2 linked regions of the Notamacropus eugenii genome follow. The protein of the gene in region 1 interacts with the protein of each later gene in a biochemical or structural test. Links are inferred from orthologs where the notes say so. Each region holds a gene or a part of one and is shown in the gene's direction. Other genes may lie near its edges.

What was found.
Region 2: of the proteins of CAMK2G (region 1) and RRAD, one has a biochemical effect on the other in vitro, tested with the Homo sapiens proteins (2 studies listed by BioGRID, with this or other methods). The link is inferred for Notamacropus eugenii from reciprocal best matches to the Homo sapiens genes CAMK2G and RRAD.

Annotation. Positions count from the first base shown.
Region 1 is NC_092872.1:236,561,348-236,570,332, forward strand, and holds the start of CAMK2G (calcium/calmodulin-dependent protein kinase type II subunit gamma), read left to right. Parts: upstream 1-4,473; 5' UTR 4,474-4,640; coding exon 4,641-4,705; intron 4,706-5,331; exon of another isoform or gene 5,332-5,665; coding exon of another isoform or gene 5,666-5,691; intron 5,692-6,053; coding exon 6,054-6,148; intron 6,149-8,985.
Region 2 is NC_092872.1:693,974,658-693,984,393, reverse strand, and holds the start of RRAD (GTP-binding protein RAD), read left to right. Parts: upstream 1-5,513; 5' UTR 5,514-5,635; intron 5,636-6,294; 5' UTR 6,295-6,320; coding exon 6,321-6,681; intron 6,682-9,619; coding exon 9,620-9,693; intron 9,694-9,736. UniProt on the Homo sapiens protein: May regulate basal voltage-dependent L-type Ca(2+) currents and be required for beta-adrenergic augmentation of Ca(2+) influx in cardiomyocytes, thereby regulating increases in heart rate and contractile force.

The DNA of each region.
Region 1 (8,985 bases):
CCTCAGCCTAGCTTTCACTGAAAGCTCTCCACAGTCTGGCTCCTATCTCATTTACTATTACTGAGTTTCACACACTTAACATTCCAACCAAAATGGCCTACTAACTGCTCATGCACTCAATATTACATCTCCTTCTTCATCTTTTGTACATGTGTTGTTCTTCAGTGGTATCCAAGTCTTCATGACCCCATTTGGGGTTTTCTTGGCGAAGATCCTGGAGTGGTTTGCCAGTTCCTTCTCCAGTTCATATTACAGATGAGGAAACTGAGGCAAACAGGGTTAAGCGACTTGCCCAGGGTCACACAGCTAGTAGGTGTTTGAGGCCAGATTTGAACTCCAGTCTTCCTAACTCCAGGCCTGGTGCACTATTCACTATGCCACTTAGGGGCCCATCATAGCCTAGAATATGTTCTCCCCTAACCTCAACCCAGGGGTATGTTGCTGCCAGCTCTAATAGAGCCATTGTTAAATTTTCAGCTTGAGCATTTACACCTTGGAAATCAGCAAATGATACAATTCAAGAAGTGATTTATTGTTATGCTGATTGTCTAGACTTAAGAAAGTGATGAGGAAAATATTAATAATGCAGATTAAATTTAAGAATGTATCGAGTTTACACTCCCCCCCATCCCCAACAGAGCCATTTGTTAAGCATTTACCAGCACACCCCTTTCTCAACCTCTTGGACTCCCTGGTGTCCTTCAAGGCTCAGCCCTGTGGCTACCTACCTCCTACACCAAGCCTTTTCTGACCAGTAGTTAGTGGGGTTTTTGTGAAATTAACTTGCACATACCTTATATATATTTACCTGCATATTTGTATTTCTCTAGTATATATAAGCTCCTTGAGGGCAGTGAAAGGCACATTTGTCTTCATCTCCCTAGGGTCTAGCACACAGCTCTTGGCACTTAGTACTTGCTATAAACATTGAGTTGAGCTCTTCTGTCTCCTCTCTCCTTCATCTTTCTACATCTTTCATAGCAAGGGAATGGAGAAAACACTGGACCAGCAATCAGTGTCTTTAGATTTGAGTCTGGGCTGAACCACTGGGGTGTGTAGGACTCAGGCTAGCCATGGAAACCATGAGTCTTTGCCTCCTTAGGAGGCACCAGCTCTCCAAGATTTCCACCTATTTCACTACTTTGATGTGCAAGAACCAGCCTTTATCAGTTCCCATCTGAATTGCCTCGCACCTGCATCTTTGTTTTCCCTTTATTTCATGTCAATAAATTTAAAACTTTCAGGATCAGCTCCTAGGGGACAGGGACTAAGGCATTTTAATCTAGAATTAAAAATTGATGACAATTGATGGTGGATTGCTTAGTCGGGGCACTCGCTTAGGGTGTAGTGGAAAGAGCATGGTGGTTGGAGCCAGAAGACCTTGTTTCAAGTTTGGGTTCCACCAGTATTTGATTAAGTCATATATCCACTCTGAGCCTCAGTTTCCTCATCTATAAAATGTGGATCATAATCCTGACCTCCTTCCAGGGCTGTTGTGAAGATTAGATAAAATCATCATATATGTAAAATATTTTGTAACTGTAATTTACCACAAAACTATGGCTATTCCCCTGAATAAACATATCCTGAGCTGAGACCGGGTGCTGGGTTCATCTATCTAACTAATGAATGCATAGTAATTGGAAAAAAAAAACCTTGAAACACCTTTAGCTTTAGTCTCTCTTCCCTCCTCACAAACTCCTTTAGGATTTGTGCCCCCCCCCCCATAAAGGCACCTGGATGTCACTCTGATGTCTTAAGATAGGAAGTGGCTTTGACTCCCCAACAACGGCACTTCCGGTTGCCTTAGGCAAGGGTGGAGTGGGGTTTTATTGTCCCTCACCTTTGTCCCAAACCCTGCCCTCTGATCACTAGGGTTTTCTTCTCCATTCCCTTCTTCCTTCTCACCAATCCAGGGACCATCTAAACCAGTTGATCTCTGACTATTTCTGGCTAATAAGTCGTTCCTAAGGCCCTTTGTAATTCAGTTCCCTCATTTTACACAGGAGGAAATTAAGGTTCAGACAGTGAAATGGGGGGGGGGGGGCTGGTACAACAGATTGAAACTGTGACTCTGAAGATATATATAGTTTCAAATCCAATCTGACTTGGCCTCTATTTGAAAGCCTGATGTATAGAAAGCTGGCCTTGGAGTCAGGAAGACCTGGGTTCAATTCCCCCTCCTCTGACACCTATAAACTGTGTGGCCTTGGGCATATCACTTAATTTCTCTGCATTATGGGCAGCTCTTTAAAACTATAAATCATAGTTCAGCTAGGTGGTGAAGTGGATAAAGCACCAGCCTTGGTCATTTACTAGCTGTGTGACCCTGGGCAAGTCACTTGATCCCCACTGCATCCCCCAAACAAACAAAACTCTAGGTTTCTTGTACTGGTAGAAATAGGTTCACCTATACCAACGAAATCAGAGATCCCATCCCTACCGATAAATACAGTGCCCTGGTGGCAGCGTCACAGCTATAATTCAGATCTTTTGACTCCCCCAGTTCAACAAAGTCCTCCCCCTCCCCCACCACTTCATGCTCTTATCAGCAGTTCTGTGATAAAAGTGTCCACCTTTTCCCCTCCCAGCCTCCCCAGGCTAGACCTGGAAATGAGACTATGGTGATGGATTCTCTCTACCGGCTCCCTGGAGGAGCCCGACTGATAACTGGATGAAACCCAGCTCAGCCGAGTCCCAGTGGGTGTCCTGGTGTAATCAAGTCTGTTCAGCCGCAGTGAGAGTGAGAGCACACTGCAGCCCTGCTCAGCTGTCTCCGGCCCCAAGCCTAGGTGAGCATGCAGCTGTCTGGGCAGGTCTGGAACCTGCCTGGCCAGTTCTTGCTCCGGGACAGCTATGCCCCTGTGCCCTGCTTACGAGCCCCCTCCCCCCCCCATGGAGGTAGGGGAAACCTTCGGGAAGGAAGAAAAGCAAAGCAGTTGGTATGTTTCTCACGAGCTGGAAGGAGGAGGAGGTACCCTGGGATCTGGCCAAAGGAGGATGGAAATGCTAATCCTTCCCTTTTACCTGCTCTTCCAGGCCAGATACACCCCAGAGGCTCAACTCTCCTACCTTCTCATCTCTCTCTTTAGTGTCTGTCACCAAGCTGGGTAGAGAGGGGTCATTCATCTGTCTTTGAGGTTTGGGTGATGTTTCTTCCTATCCATGGAAGGTAAGGTATTTCACTTGGTTCTGGTCAAATTTGAATTAAACATGGGTTCTGGAGACAGAGTCAGGAGAGGCTGGGTTTGAAATCCAGCTCTGTCACCTCAACAAACAACACCAATGTACTTTATGTTCTGCAAAGCATTTTACATAATTTCATTTGATCCTCACAACAATCCGGTGATGTAAGTGCTATGGTTATCTTCCTTTTACAAACAAGGAACTTAACTCAGTGATTAGGTGACTGGCCCAGGGTCACCCAGCTAATAAACATCTAAGGGAGTTTCAAACTCTGGTCTTCCGGACTCAAGGTTTAACCCTCTCCAAAGTTATTTTATTCACCTTCTCAGGGCTTCAGTTTCCTCCTCCAAATGAGGAAGGTTTGGCCAGATGAGCTCTAAAGTTGGCTCTAACATCCTGCCACTCTGGGGTGTTCCTAGCTAATCCTAAACTTGGTTTTGAGTTGGTGTCATCTCCTTGAGCCAAGAACTGCTTGCTGCCTTAGATCTGTTTCTTGGCAGGTTCCTAAGCTTGAGTTCTCATCCATTATGCTATCTGAAGATCATATGATTGCCTTAAAGCTGAAGGGGATCTTGAGTCATCTAGCACAATCTCATTTTACAGGTTAGGAAACTGAGGTTAAGAAAAGGCAAAGAAGGAAGTGGTAGAGACAGAATTAGAACTCAGGTCCTCTGCCTCCAACTGCAGTAGCCCTCTTTCCACATAAGATCATGGTTTTTAGAGCTAAAAGGAACCTGAGACGTTATGTAGTCGAATAAGAAACCGAGGCCCAGAGAGAACAGACTCTCTTGAATGTCAGGGCTGGGATTCTGTACTAGGTCTTTCTTCTGCATCCCTGGCGGTGCAGGGGCCCTATTTGGAGAGAGACGGGACCCTCTGTGCATCTGCCCATCTGCCCGAAGGGGCTAGGTTTGGGGGCCCCCCGGGGGGGGGGGTCTGTTTAGGAGTCACTGTCTAGGGCCCTGTGTCAAGGCCTCCGTCACAGAGGCATGGGCCGGCAGCTCTCTGTCTCCACCCCCACCCCTCCATGCCGGACTCCTCGGTGCTGCCCAGACCCCTGAGAAGGACACTGGGGTCACCCTCCCTTCCGCTTCTCGGGACCTTGACCGTGGGGCGGCTGCTGGGTCAGTGCAGGCCCCCGCCCTGCATCCTTCCGTCCCGGGCCGCCCCCTCCCCGCCCCGGGTCGTGGGTCCTCGGGTGCCCGGGCTGGGCAGGCGGCTGGCCGGCCGGGGCGGGCCGGGGCGGGGCGCCCGTGAGAAGCCCCTCCCCGGGGGCGGGCGGGCCGGGCTGGGGGCGGGCAGCGGGGGTGTCCCTCCCCGCCTCGCTCCCCGGTAAAGTCTCGCGGTGCTGCTGGGCTCAGCCCCGTCTCCTCCTCCTGCTCCCCCTCGGCCGGGCGGCGGTGACTGTGCACTGAGATCGGAGCGGGCAGCGCAGCCGTGCCCGCCCCGCCAGCATGGCCACCACCGCCCCCTGCACCCGCTTCACCGACGACTACCAGCTCTACGAAGAGCTCGGCAAGTACGGCCCGGACTTCCCCCGCCCCGGGCGCTCCTGCGGCTCCTCCCCCCGCCCCCCGCCCCGCACCGGCCCCGCTGCAGCCCGGCGGTGCGGCGCCCCTTCCCCGCGCGGCGCCCCCGGCCCCTCCCCGGCCGGCTCCGGCCACTGCGGCCGGAGCGGAGCCTCGCGCTGCATGCGGCCGACTGCAGCCCCCCGGCCGCTGCCGGGCTCCCCCGGCCACGCCCCCGGCCCGCTCCGGCCCCTCGGGCTCTCCGACCTTGGTCACACCCTGTCCGAGCCGGACCCCGCGGCCGGTGCCCGGGTCGGGGGGCTGCCCCGGCGCCCGGCCCCGCCCCCGGCTTCCCGGATCCCGACCCCGCCGCTGGGCGCTGCTGCAGCCCCCCCTTCCTTCCCGCCCCCCCCCTCCCTGCAGTGGTCCCGGGAGCCGCGCGCCGCAGCCGCAGCATCCCCCTCCCCTCCGCACGGCACCGAGCAGCGCCGGCCGCTGCTGCAGCCCCAGACTCCCCTCCCCGCCCCCCCAACCTGGCCACTGCAGCCCCCGCCCTGCCCCCCAGCCTGTACACCCAGCCGGGGGGAGCTGGGCATCGAGAGCTGGAGGGCTGACTCGGGAGGGGGGGGGGGGGCGGGAGGGGAAAGGGAGAAGGAAGGGAGAGACTTTGCAGCCCTGCCCTTGACAGCTGGGGCTCCTGCCCCCCTCCCCAGGGCTCTCCTTCCCTTTCCCTGCTGCTCGCCTAGACTGGAGGCTGTTCTTTTTGTGGGATGTGGTGGGACCCCAAGGCTCTGAGCGGCCGTGGGCTTCTCGCTCCTCCCCTGATGCTAAAGCTTTATTCCTCCCATGGATGAGGGAGATGATGCCTTCTTTAGGGAGTTCTACCTCCCAAATTTCCTGTGGTTCCCAAGTATGAGTGCTATGAGTAGGAGAGGGTACCTTTGCCCCTCACTCTTCACTTCTCCCCTGGAATGCAGGGTAGCTCTGAATGCATCAGGTGTGTGATAGGAACATTTCCCACCAATCCCACACCTGTGAGCCTGAAGTCTGAGTTGTTTCTTTGTCCCAGGGTCAGATAAAGGGACAGGGTGGAGGGAAATATCTTTTTATCATAAGTCTAAATCATGTTGCTTTTTTCATGAATGCTTAGGTGGCAGTGCCATTAGATGGGGGGGGGGTCAACCTGTTCTAGGGTTGGGGGAGTCACTGTCAGGAGTGAATGACTGTGGTTATAGGTGGGGGTCATTCTGATCTAGAATCTGGGAATGGAGGACAATTCATGTGGTTGTGAGATCAGGTATAAATATTTATCACTCTACTCGGGTCTTTGTCCCAGTTCTTGCTCTCCTCTCTTTCTAGGGGGGCTTTCTCTGTGGTCCGAAGATGTGTTAAGAAAACCTCCACTCAGGAGTATGCAGCAAAAATTATTAACACCAAGAAGCTATCAGCCCGAGGTGAGTGTGGATGGATGAAAACTCCTTGAAGGCAAGATTCATGCACTTCTGTCTGTATATCCCAGCACAGTGTGAGGCACATAGTATGTCCCTAATAAATACTTGTAACTTGGTTGATCTTGATCTTTATCCCCTGACAGAGTGAGATGTCTGGACTCATGCATTTAATGGTGGGGCAGAAGTTGGTGGTACTAAGAGGAGATTATTGGAACTTGGAATAGATGTGACTTTCAGGGGAACTGGTACAGAGAGCTACTCTGTCTAGGCAGGAGAGGCCCAGGGGCCTTTGGGATGGAAGAGATGGTGGGTTGTTCTCACAAGGATGACTGGGGTAGCTGAAGACTCTGACAAATGGGGACTTTGGTCCCTTGAGGTGGAGAAAGAGTGGCATTAACTGCCAGTTTTGCTGGAGAAATGTAGTTTCATGTAGCGCAAAGCAGCAATCCCCTAATTTGGTGAATGTGAGGAAAGGTCCCACCTGAGATGGATTTGTTGAAGTCAAAGGCAGCGAATGAGCGAATGTAGAGTTGTCCTATCCACACACAATCCTTCCCCCTCCCAACTTGTGCTTGGGTTGGAACTGCAGTAAATGAGAAGCCTGGATGGTTGCTTGCCTCCCCCTGCCCACCAGGCAGCCAAATAGACTCCCAAGGGGAAAAAAATCTGTAAACATCAGGGGAGGCTGGTATTGGCGAGGACTCTTCGGGAACAAATCCTGCCAGATGAACTGGATTGCTTTTTTTTGATCAAATTACCAAGTTAGTGATGCAGACGCAGATGCAATCTCTCCTGGGCGGAGGTTGGTTGCTTCATGAACATGAGAAAGAGAATGCACCTGATGCCCTGGGTCAGAGGGGTTGCAGCTGTCCAAAGCAGGGGGCCTGACTTCAAAGGCCAGAGAAGACAAGGTCTAATTGTTGTTTCTCTCCCCTGAACAGTTCCACCTCTAATCTCACCTTCGGGATATACCAACTTCCTGGCATCAGACTTGTGTGGCCATCCAAGTATGAGTGATTGGTACATGAATAGATACAGTGAAGGAGTGGATGGGGTGTGATGAGGACTTCAGTATATAGCTGTGAGGCAGGAGAAGTAGAGGAGGGTGCTCTGAATTATATAAGGCACCACAGGAATGGCACCCCAAATGGGCTGCATAGAGGGGTTCTAGTGCAAAGAATACTTGGGCTTGTGCTTGAGAGATCTGAGTTCAAATCTTGGTGCTGACACTTGGTTATACAACTGAGGGGAAGTCACTCAACTTCCTCTAAGTCTCATCTGTAAAATAGGAACGATAATGCTGTAGTGACCTAGCTCATCAGACTGTTGCAAGGCTCACGAGTACAGAAGGGACTTTGTAAGCCTTAAAGCACCACATCAGGATGAGTAATTGCTATCCTAGGGAATGGGGAGCTCTGAGATTGCCTGAGTAGAATTGTAAGCTCTTTGAGGGCAGGATGGTTTCATTGTTGCCTTTGTACCCCCAGTGTTGTCAGCATCCCAGGGCTGTGAGAAACAGAAAAAGGAATGTTCTTGGACTCAGTTAATTCTAAGGAAGCACAGAGCTTCCTCGGGGCTTGCAGCAGGGACAGTTTGCCTTCTAGTGGTGGGGTTCTGTAGAAGGGAATGGTCCTCGGGTGTGGGGTTTGTCAGGCTCTCTTGTTCACATCCCATATTCCATCCCTTTCTTGGCCCTGAGCATCTGCTACCAAGTTCACTTGTTCATTGGTTTCTTTTCTGTTTGGGCATCTTGGCTCCAGGGTGATGGTTGCCATAGAAACATGTGGGTGGCCAGGGTGCCCTCCTACCCTCCATCGGGGCAGTGTGGGCTGGGATAGGAACACTGTTTCATTCCTCTCCCCTCCCCCTTTCCTCCCCCTGCAGACACTCTCTGTCCTGGGAATGGATACATCACTCACTAGAAACCCACAGCAAAGTCCTAGCGCCCTCAGAAATGGGACCCTGGTGTCTGGTGTCTCCAGTTGATGATGCAATGTCCCTCTCTCCTCTTGACAGTGCCCTCTTCTTGTCCAGGAGCTGGGGAAGGGAAGGACAGCCAGGAGTTGAGTGTTATGCTGATAGATCTGATTTGGGGGAGCTCTCTTTCACCTGATTTGGAATGGAGTTTCATCCCTTTTCTCCCTCTCCATCCCCACCCCCAGCTGCCCTGAGGTGGTAGAGGAATGTCTCTTTCTGGTCCCTTGCCTCTTTCCTCTTTATCTCTTATAAACTGTGCTAAACCAGTACTTTCACCCCTAAGCCCTGGGGACTCAAGCCAGAATACATTTTGAACCAGGCTTTATTTTTTTCCCCCCTTAGAAAAAGAGGTAGTTTCTGTAGGAATGTGAGCTAGGGTACCATGTTGTTCTCTCTTGAGACTGTCATGCCCAGATGGGGACTATGCCCTGGAGGTGTGAGTGTGCCAAGAATCTGTGGAGCAGAAGAATTTAGAGAACCAGTCCATTATGATTGGCACAGATGCCAAGAGGGAGGATATCCTGACTAGGAACTTAGGGAGGAAGGGATGTTCATTGGGTAGTTCCAGTGGAATATGGAGTAGTTGGGATATTGAGGGATGGGGGGGATATAGCATAGCATAAGAGGAGGCTATATTTTAGGGTAATAGTTCTATGGAAATGTTTATTGGGTAGAGGAAGGGAGAGGGCAGGGTGGGATAGAGTCCCTTGAGTGAAGATTGGGATGAGTGCCATGTTGTGCTCTTGCCCCACAGAGCCCGGGAGTAAAGGCTGTGGTTATCCTGCAGCCTCTCGGCTTACGCTGTATATTTTATAAAGGTACTGGAGCAGCTAGGGCTGGATTTCACCTCTTCACTGTTTGCC
Region 2 (9,736 bases), about 460 Mb from region 1:
AGTTATTTCACTTTTTTCTGATTATCTCTTCCCATCAGTATGTCCAGACTAGGATGACATCTAGTCCCTTCCCATTCTAAATGCATGAGCTTATTTTGACCCAGAGCACTACTGTCTTTTCAATCACTCAGGTTCACAACCTCAATATTATCCTGGATTTTCTCTCCCTGTCCCACATATCCAATCAGTTGCCTAATCTCGTGTCTTACCTCCATAACATCTTTATTTCTCTCCTCTATCTCATAAGGCCATTACCCTCTCTGAAGCCTTATTACAGCTCACCTGGACTGTCAAATACCTTCCTAATTGGTCTCCCTGTTTTCATTATATTTGCCCTCTCCAATCCATCCTCAACACAACTGCCAAATAAACTCCAGTGGTTCTCTATTGCCTTAGAACCAAATATAAACTCCTCTGTTTGACATTTAAAGGTCTTTTCATCCTGACCCCAACCTACCTTTCCAGCTTTTTTATATCACTCCCCTTCCTGCACTCCATGGTCCTGCAAAATTGGTGGTCTTGTATTCCTTACACAAAATCCTTCCTCTTCTGTCTCCATTGCTTTATATTAGCTGTCTTTTGAGCCTGGAATGCCCTCCCTTCTCAGCTCTGACTCTTAGAATCCCTAGCTTCCTTCAAGGCTCAGACAAAATACCATCTTCTAAACAAAACCTTTCCTGATCTACCAGATGCTAGTGTCCTCTCCCCCAAATTTAGAATCTCTATCTATACATATGTGTGTGGATGGATAGATAGATATAGATATTTACGTATGTACATATCCCTCCCCTCCCCTCCCAGTAAATACCCATTGCCTAGCACTTAAAAAAATGAACCTGTGATTTCATGAGTATAGGGAACTCCCAGGGAAGGAATTCTCTCTCCTAAGGTAGACCCCAACCTCAGAGAGCTGCCTGGAGCACTGAGACTTTAAATGTATGTCAGTGGAGGGACTTTAATTCAATTCTTTCTGACTCCTAAGCAGGTTCTCTCTCCACTATCCCTATAGTGGCATATAGTAGTGTGGCATATAGTAGTCACTTCAATAAATAATTGTTGGCTGATTGATCAATGTATTCTATAGTCCTATTCTAAATAAATGGAATATGAAGTGATTTTCAAATCTTTATGTGTGACTATTTCCCAAGCTCTCCTCTTCTTCCTAGCAGTTCCCAGGAGGCACAAGATAGGAGGCTGGGATCCCAAGTACAGATCTTTTCTCCTAGGAGAAAGAAACAGAAGGAGAGAGGCCAAGCTAGATCCTGGGGCCAACAAACAATGCAACATGAGCCCCATTTGGCCAGTCATGGGGTCAGGGCCCAACTGGTTCAATGTCTAGGCCAGATTTACCAAAATGTCCTCATGAGCTCAGCATCCAGGAAGCTTGGGGAAGGCCAGCTGGACCCCCCAGGACAGAGATGGGGGAGGAGAGAGGAGGACAGGAGAGGATATTTTTAGCCCAGTTGCCTGTATCAGCTCTGTGTGGGCAAAGGCCCAGAAAACTGAGCAGGCGAAGAGGAAAGAGAGGGTGGGGCGGCTGATCAGAAATACAAAGGCACACGTTCAAATCCCAGCTGTAAGTGTTATGTGTATTGGAGGAAATCATTTCACCTTTCTTCCTTCTCTGTAAAATTAGGAGTTAAGCCCAGATACTGGCTAAGGTCCCTCCTTAGCTCTAAATCCTATGATCCTATGATACTAGAAGTCCCTTTCTCCTCTCCGAGACTCAATTTTCTCATCTGTAAAATGGAAATTATAGGATCATAGACTTAATAACTGCTGCACTCTCTACCTCAGAGTTATTATAAGGAGTATATTTTGTAAACCTTAAAGCACTATAGAAATGTAAATTCTCATTACATTGGGGGTCCTGGGAGACAACTGCTAAGGGAGACCCCAAACCCAGGTGCTGTAAAGTCAGGAGGTTGTGATGATCCATCTCCTTTCGCTTTCCCTCAAGGCATCAGGGCCATGGCACAGAGAATACCCAGGCCTATTTGCTCCCAGCTTCTCCTCCCCCACTTCTGCTCCCAACTTTTCTTTCTTTTCTGCCCTATGAAAACTACCCCTTCTTGCTTTCATTATGGCTCGACAGAGCACCCAACTGAAAAGGATGAAGAAACCAGACCTTGTAAGGTGTTCATCGAAAGAGCATTGACCTGGATTCAAATCCTAGATTTGCCCTTTCCTACCAGTACGACCCTGGGTAAGTCATCTCTCTGGATCTCAGCTATAAAAAGAACTCTAACTAGATCCCTTCTTAGGGGAACTCCAAGATCCATTCCAACTCTAAATACTATAATCCTATAATGTGTTACTTCTTCCAATGAGGAAGAGGTCGATCATAGGGGATTTCAGACTAACAATATTGAGGGATGGTGGAGGGAGAATGATACATTGGCGTAAGGAGACCTTCTTGTTCCTTAATTTGTTGTTTAGACATTTTCAGTTGTGTCTGACCTTTTTGGGGTTTTCTTGGTAAAAATACTGGAGTGGTTTGCTACTTCGTTCTCCAGCTCATTTCACAGATAAGGAAACTGAGGCAAACAAGGTTAAATCACTTACCCAGAATCACCCAGCTAGTAAATGTCTGAGACTAGATTTGAATTCAGGTCTTCCTGACTCCAGGCCCAGTACTCATCAACTGGGCCATCCAACTGCCCCTGCTCCTTAAATCACTGTCCTCTTGGCATCCCTGCTCAACCACCCTCTAATCCAAAGAGGGAAATCATTATTTCTCTGAATCTCCACAATGGGGGCCCTATGCTTACTCAGCTCCCATTTTTAAGGTGAGGCTGAAACCCTACTCCTCACCCTCCATCCCAGAAAATCTCTGGCTCCTCAGAAGGTATACAAGCATCAGTTTTTCCATAACATCTGTGGCCTGTATCTCCTCTTCTCTACCCACTGAGTCACCACCATACTTCAGGACCTCACCATCTCTGCCTGGAGGAGTCTCCTACACAATATATGCTCTCTCTCTCCTCAATTCCCTCCCCACTCCAACCTATCCTCTATGCAACTGCCAAAATGATCCTCCTACTACAAAGCACAGATAAGAAAATCCATTCAGAAACCTTCAATGGCTCCCCATTGGCTCCAGGACACAATGGAAATTCCCTCAGACTGGCATTTTAGACCCTCCACAGTCTGAGTCACAACCTGGCCAAGCTCTACAACTAGCCATTCAACAAGTTCACCCCATTTCCCAACACTATGAGCGTCAGCCCCCATATACTCATCCCCAACCCCACCTTGGATAATCCTTACCCTTGTCCATGCCTCAGCTCAGGTGCCACCTCCTTTCTGAAGCCCTCCCTGACCTTCCAGTAATTTATTAGTCCTTTCTCCCTCCTCAAATGCCCAGGATCAAAGATCTGGGTCTGGAATGGATCTCAGAGGGTCAACCCCTCTAGTTTTTTACAGATGAGGAAATTGAGGAACAATAATGAATGGAAGAGGAGGGATTCAGACCCAGAAGCCCAGGTCCTTTGACTCCACATACAATACTTTTTCTATTAGGCCCCTCAGCAGTCCTTAAATGACCATGTATCACACATATTAAGGCCTGTGTTATTATCTCTTCCCTCTTGTTCATGTAAAGTCTTTGAGGACAGGGATTCGGGAACTGTTTTGTCTTTGTTATTTCCACAGAGTCCAGTCAGTTCAGAGGAAGTGCTTAATAAATGTTTCCTGGCTCGAATGGGAGATGACCTCAGAACCAGGAAAACCTGAGTTCAAATCCTACACATGCTTTGTGGTCTTGAGAGAGTTCCTTAACTTCTCAGCATCTAAGTCCCCAGTGCTGCCCTAATCTGGTTAAAATGTCATTGGGAAATGTTTGACAAAATTCATTTTAAAATACAATAAAACATAGATAATGTTAATTTGTGGTTGTCCAAGTCAACACGCAGTCCTCAGGGATGGTCTCTATTTGAGTCTGACACCACCACTATTCAAGTCCCTAAGACTTTATATTGCAAGAGAAAGTCATTGATGAGATGGCAATTCAGTCCCTCTCCTAAAAGGAATAATCCTTAAAACTACCTTAAATCCTTCCCTAAATCAACTCTCCAGAGGCCCTAGGGGTTTCTTGAAACTGAACCTAGATACCAGCAGCTAGATGTCTAGAGCACCAGCCCCTGAAGCTCAAATTATGACCTCAGAGATTTTCTAGCTCTGTGACCCTGGGCAAGTCACTTAATCCTGATTATGAACAAGAAAGAAAGAAGGAAAGGAAAGAAGGAAGGAAGGAAGGAAGGAAGGAAGGAAGGAAGGAAGGAAGGAAGGAAGGAAGGAGGAAGGAAGGAAGGAAGGAAGGAAGGAAGGAAGGAAGGAAGGAAGGAAGGAAGGAAGGAAGGAAGGGAGGGAGGGAGGGAGGGAGGAAGGAAGAAAGGAAGGGAGAGAGGGAGGGAGGAAGAGAAAGAAAGAAAGAAGGACGAGAAAGAAAAAGAAAGATAAATTGAACCAAGATTAGACGTGAAATCTCTTCTAGATTAGACAGTTCAAGCCCCTTATTTTTTTTAGAAAAGGTCACTAAGACCCCATAAAGGAAAATGTCTTAGCCAAGGCCAAATAGTAATGACAGGGGCAGAATTCAAATCCGGCACCCTTGACTCCTCCACAGATCTCCTCCCCACTCAATACACTGGCCCTGGAAACCTTGTTTTGTGGGGTTGAGGAGGACTTGGACTGGTAGGAAATTACAAGGGTGATCTGCTTTATCTATCCACAGGACTTCTTTGGGAGCCGGGGGCTGGGAGCTGGACTAAGAGACCAATACTGTTGTTGGAGTGGTAAGAATCCTTTTTCTCAGTCAGCTGGATGCCTCCAATTCGACGCTCCTTTCTTACTTCCCTCCACCCACCTCCACCCTCTACCTACCAGGCTCTCCAAAACACTGACCTGCACCCTTGCCCTTAGTGTCTGATCTCTGGAAACGGGCTTCCCTCTACGGGAGGTGAAAGCGAGGCAGGAGCCCAAGGAGTGGAAGGGATCCCTCCCATTTTGAGTCTCTTATACATAATGGGTGTCCCTCGCGTGCCCCAGGTCCGCGCTAGAAGGGTCCCGCGTTTTGACCCGTCCAGGGTTGTAGACGCTAGCTGCCCCCACCTCCACCCTCCACCTTGGAACAACTCCCTGGAGTTAGGAAGGAGTCTTAGAAAACATCAAGTGCACACCCCGCCCCACTCCTTCTCATTTAACAGATGAGGAAACTGAGGCTCAAGGAGGGGCGGTGACACAGCTAGTTAGTGGCGTTGCTGGGATTGGAATCCAGAGGCTTGGGGACCGGGGGGGTGCTTCTCTCCAGGATTTCCCCTCAGGTCAGGGCTAAGTACGAACACGTCAGTCCTCCCAACCCCCGCCAGCTGCCACCCCCTCCCTCTGGGGATTGAGTCTGAGCTGGCAAAGCCTGGGGAAGGGGAGGCCAAGGAGGGGGAGGGAGAGAAAAGAGGGATGGAGGAAGAGGAAGGACAGGGGGCGGGTCTGGACTCGCGCGCCCGAGCCGGGACATAAATAGGCGGTGCTGGGGCTCTCCGGGAGATTAGCCCGAGCAGAGGCGGAGGCAACTGGAGGAGAGAGTCTGCCGGGATCGGAATCCGAATCTGAGTCCGTGTGTCAGTCCCTACGAGAGGTGAGTATCGCGGAGATCCCGGCCTCGCTGGGGAGGGAGGGTAGATTCCCAGAGCCTCTACCTTGCCCGCTGGTGCCCTGGTGCCAGGGTTTGGTGTAGGACAGAGACATTCGTTCAGTTTGGTGGCCTGGGATCTTCGAGTAGGGATCTGGGATCCTAGAAGGATCGGGAACGGTCCCGACAACTAAGGGGTGTGTACTGAACCCAGACTAGTTCTCAGGTGTGTGTGTGTGTGTGTGTGTGTGTGTGTGTGTGTGTGTGTGTGTGTGTGTGTGTGTGTGTGTGTGTGTGCGCGCGCGCGCGTGTGGGTATGCGTGGGTGTGTCTGTCGGGTGTGTGTGTGTGTGTGTGTGTGTGTGTGTGTGTGTGTGTGTGTGTGTGTGTGTGTGTGTGTCGGGGATGGACTGAGCCCGAAATGGCCCTGCGGTCTGACTGGGGCTACATTGCCCGACGGATCCAGAAGTGGTACTGGGGTGTCTAGTGCCTATGGGGGGCGGGGCTCGGCGGGGGGAGAGGGATGGCCAGATCTGAGATCTTGGCAGGGAGCAGGAACTGCCTCGGGGCAGCCCCGAGGTCGGGGTCGGTGAATAGGCACCTCCCAGCTCAACGTGGCCCTTTCCTCTTTTTTCCTCTCCGCTTCTTCGGCCTGGTCCCCTCCAGCCAGTCTGTTACAGACAGCGCATACGATGACTCTGAATCGTGGAGCTCAGCGGCGCAGCGGGGACCGTCGTCGGGGAAGCACGCCCTTCCTTATTCAGCAGCACCTGCATCGCCGTAGCATGCCAGTGGACGAGCGAGACTTTCAGGCGGCGCTGCCCTCTGGTCCCTTGGGCCAGCTGTCCAACCTGGTGCGGCGCCCCTCCTGCAGCCCCCGGGAACCCAGCGATTGCTGGGCCTCGGGCTCCTCCGACTCCCTAACATCTTCAGGCAGCGAGTCCGACAGCCACCTGTACAAGGTGATACTTCTGGGCGAGCGCGGGGTGGGCAAAACCAGCCTGGCACGCATCTTTGGCGGCGTCGAGGACGGCCCTGAAGCCGAGGCCGCTGGTGAGTAAGAATCACTGCCAGGAGAGAGCGGGCAAGACTGGGGAGGAACCGAGGAGAGAAGAGCTGAGCCGGGGGGGCTGGAGGGACCGAACAGAGGAGAGTTAGAGGAGAGGGTGAAAAAGTATTGGGATAGAAGACTTGGAGAGAATGAGAAAAAAGAGTTACGATTTTAAGCACCTGGAGGGCAGGAACTGGTACTGGTTTGGTCTTTAATCCCAGAGCCTAGCGTAATGTCTACATTTAGCAGGCCAAGTGCTTGTTGATTGAATTAAGATGGGAAGGATCGAGGGGAGAGGAAAGAGGGAGATCTCTGGGAAGTCTTCATGTAAAGGCTGGCTGGCCATTTGCTAGGGATCCTATAAAGGAGATTTCCGATCAGGTAGAGAGAGGTCAAGAGTTGCCTTAGTCCCTTCCCACTCTGAGATTATGGGAAAAGGGAGAAAAGAATGATGTGTTTAATGGAGTGAGGGAAATGCTGTTGGAAGGGAGGCTGGACTTGGTGGCAGAAAACTCAGATTTGAATTCCATCTCTGCAATGAAGTTACTGAAGGACCTTTGACAAATGGACCTTTCTCTGGTCCTGAGTTTGTACTCTCTAAACAGAAGGGGTGGACCTAGAATGGTCTCTAGACAGGTTTCAGGTGGCTCCTGGGTGTGGCATTCTGGAATTCTAAGGAGACAAAAGAGATGGAAGAAGATAAACTTGTGGGTTGTGGATGAGCTTTGTTTGAGTTCATCCATCTGTCTGTCCATTCTTCTGTTAGGGAGGCTGAGGCTGCAGGACAGGGTAGGGAGAGGGGGAAGTATCTCTAACCTTCTTGGAGTGAAGGAGAGAATGACAAAATCCACCCTACTCCCAGGTGTCCACAGACCCAGGCTTTGGGACTAAAATGATGTCCAGGGTGTTGTTGATAGTCTCATGAGCTCACACTTTGGAGTCTGGAGTCATAGAATTTAGAGTTTATAGAGCACTCTTTGAGAACGTAGGACGAACAACAACAAAGAGACCTCAGGGATTATTTAGTCTAGCCTCCTCCTTTGACAGATCAAGAAACTGAGGCCCAGAGAGGAAAAGGTGATTTGTCTAAGTTCATAATGACAGTAAAGGAAGAGACAAGATTTCAGCTGAGGTCTTCTGACTCCAAATTCATTATTCTTAATAAAAGCTTGTTGACTGATTGCTAGATCTTTCCACTGTACCTTTTCAAAGAGATCCATGGTTACAGGCTGCTGCCTTCCATTGTCTTCCTGGGTAAGTTTAGTGGGGTTGAGTCTCCATTTCTGACCATGGGACTCTTTCCTGAAGGCTACAACACCAGCAGATAGGATTTGGTGGAAGAGGCTAAGGGTATTACAGGTTCAGCCAGCTCAGCCTAGTATAAGTCAGTAGCTGCGACTTTCCAGTTACTGGGGAAGGAGAAGGGGTAGCAGCCTTCATGAAGTATGGGGACATTGTCCGCTTAAGTTTAGACCAGCCTATACTCTCTACTGGGCAAAAGAGTCATCTTCCTGAGTTCAAATCCAGCCTCAGACTTTTACTAGCTGTGTGACCATGGACAAGTCACTTAATTCTGTTGACCTCAGTTTCCTTATTTGTAAAATGAGCTGGAGAAGGAAATGGCAAACCACTCCAGTATCTTTGAAAAGAAAACCTCAAAAAGAAAAACACCAAAAGTCAGATACAATTGAACACAACAACTCTCTACCACTTGGGCTGGCAGAACCTTTTCTTCATGCTTTAATGGGGGGCCCTCAGTCTTTGAACTAATCGTCCAGGCCAGGCTAGCCCAGACCACAGCCAGATTAGCATAGTAGATGGAACACTGCTAGACTTGACGTTAAGGAAGACCTGAACTCAAATCATGACTCAGACACTTAATAGTTTTATGGCCCTAAGGAAGTCATTTAACTTTTCCAGGCCTCAGTTTCCTCATCTGAAAATTGAAGGGGTTATTTAGACTTGTGAAGTCCCTTCTAGTTTTTAATCTATGATCCTATGCTTTCCTCTTGAGGTCTCAGTAGGCCACAGTGGGAGGAATAATTCTGAGAACCCAGGAAATTCTTGATCCATAAAGCAGAGATGGCATTGGGTCTAGCCAAATAAGTAGTGCTTCCATTGTCCTAGGGAGAAGTAGGGGCTGATAACTTGTATCATTCACTATGTATCACACTGGAACAATGAAAAGCGGCTGGACTTCATATGACAGAGTGTATTTACATTACTTGCATGTGACACCATGTATCATCAGTAACAGTGGCAAGGATCGTGGGAATAATAAGGAAAAGGGATGGGGGCAGGGAGGTTAGGGGTCCAAGTGTAACAGAAAACAGATGGATAGATGGGAGGTTAGGGGTCCAGCTATAATAAGCAACAGAGGGACAGGGAGCTGGATGGGGAGTTTAAGAATTCAGCTATAACAGAAAACAGGAATAGATAAGGAGTTTAGAGATCTAGCAATAATGGAAAACAGGGATGGATAAAGAGGTTAAGGGCAGTGCTGTAATTGGAAACAAGGGGACAGATAAGGAGGTTAGGGAACTCATCCAATTCAACAAGCATTTTTAAGTACCTACTATTTGCTAGGCATTGGGGGTACAAAGACAAAGAGAGAGGGTGCCTGCCCTCACAGTGGAACAATTTATGAGAAATAGAGATGGGGAGGAGGCTATGGGACTGGCTATGATTGTGTGTGTGTGTGTGTGTGTGTGGGTATTGCTTTCAAGTCTTGCTTATAATTGAAAACACAAGGGAGGAGAGGGAGAAAGGAGAAGGGAGATTAAGGAACCATTTCACACAAGAATGAGAAGGAAATAGGGACAGAGGGAGGGAGGTCAGGGGTCTTGTGCTGCATACAGAACGTTAGCACACATTGCCTTTCCCCCTCTCTATGAGGTCCCAATAGTGACCTTGTTTTCTGGACCTCGGTCTTATTCCTAGGGAACACCTATGACCGATCCATTGTGGTGGATGGAGAAGAGGCTTCCCTCGTGGTGTTTGACATCTGGGAACAGGTAAGACTCCAAACCAAGAGTGGGAGACCCAAGGGTAGGTAGT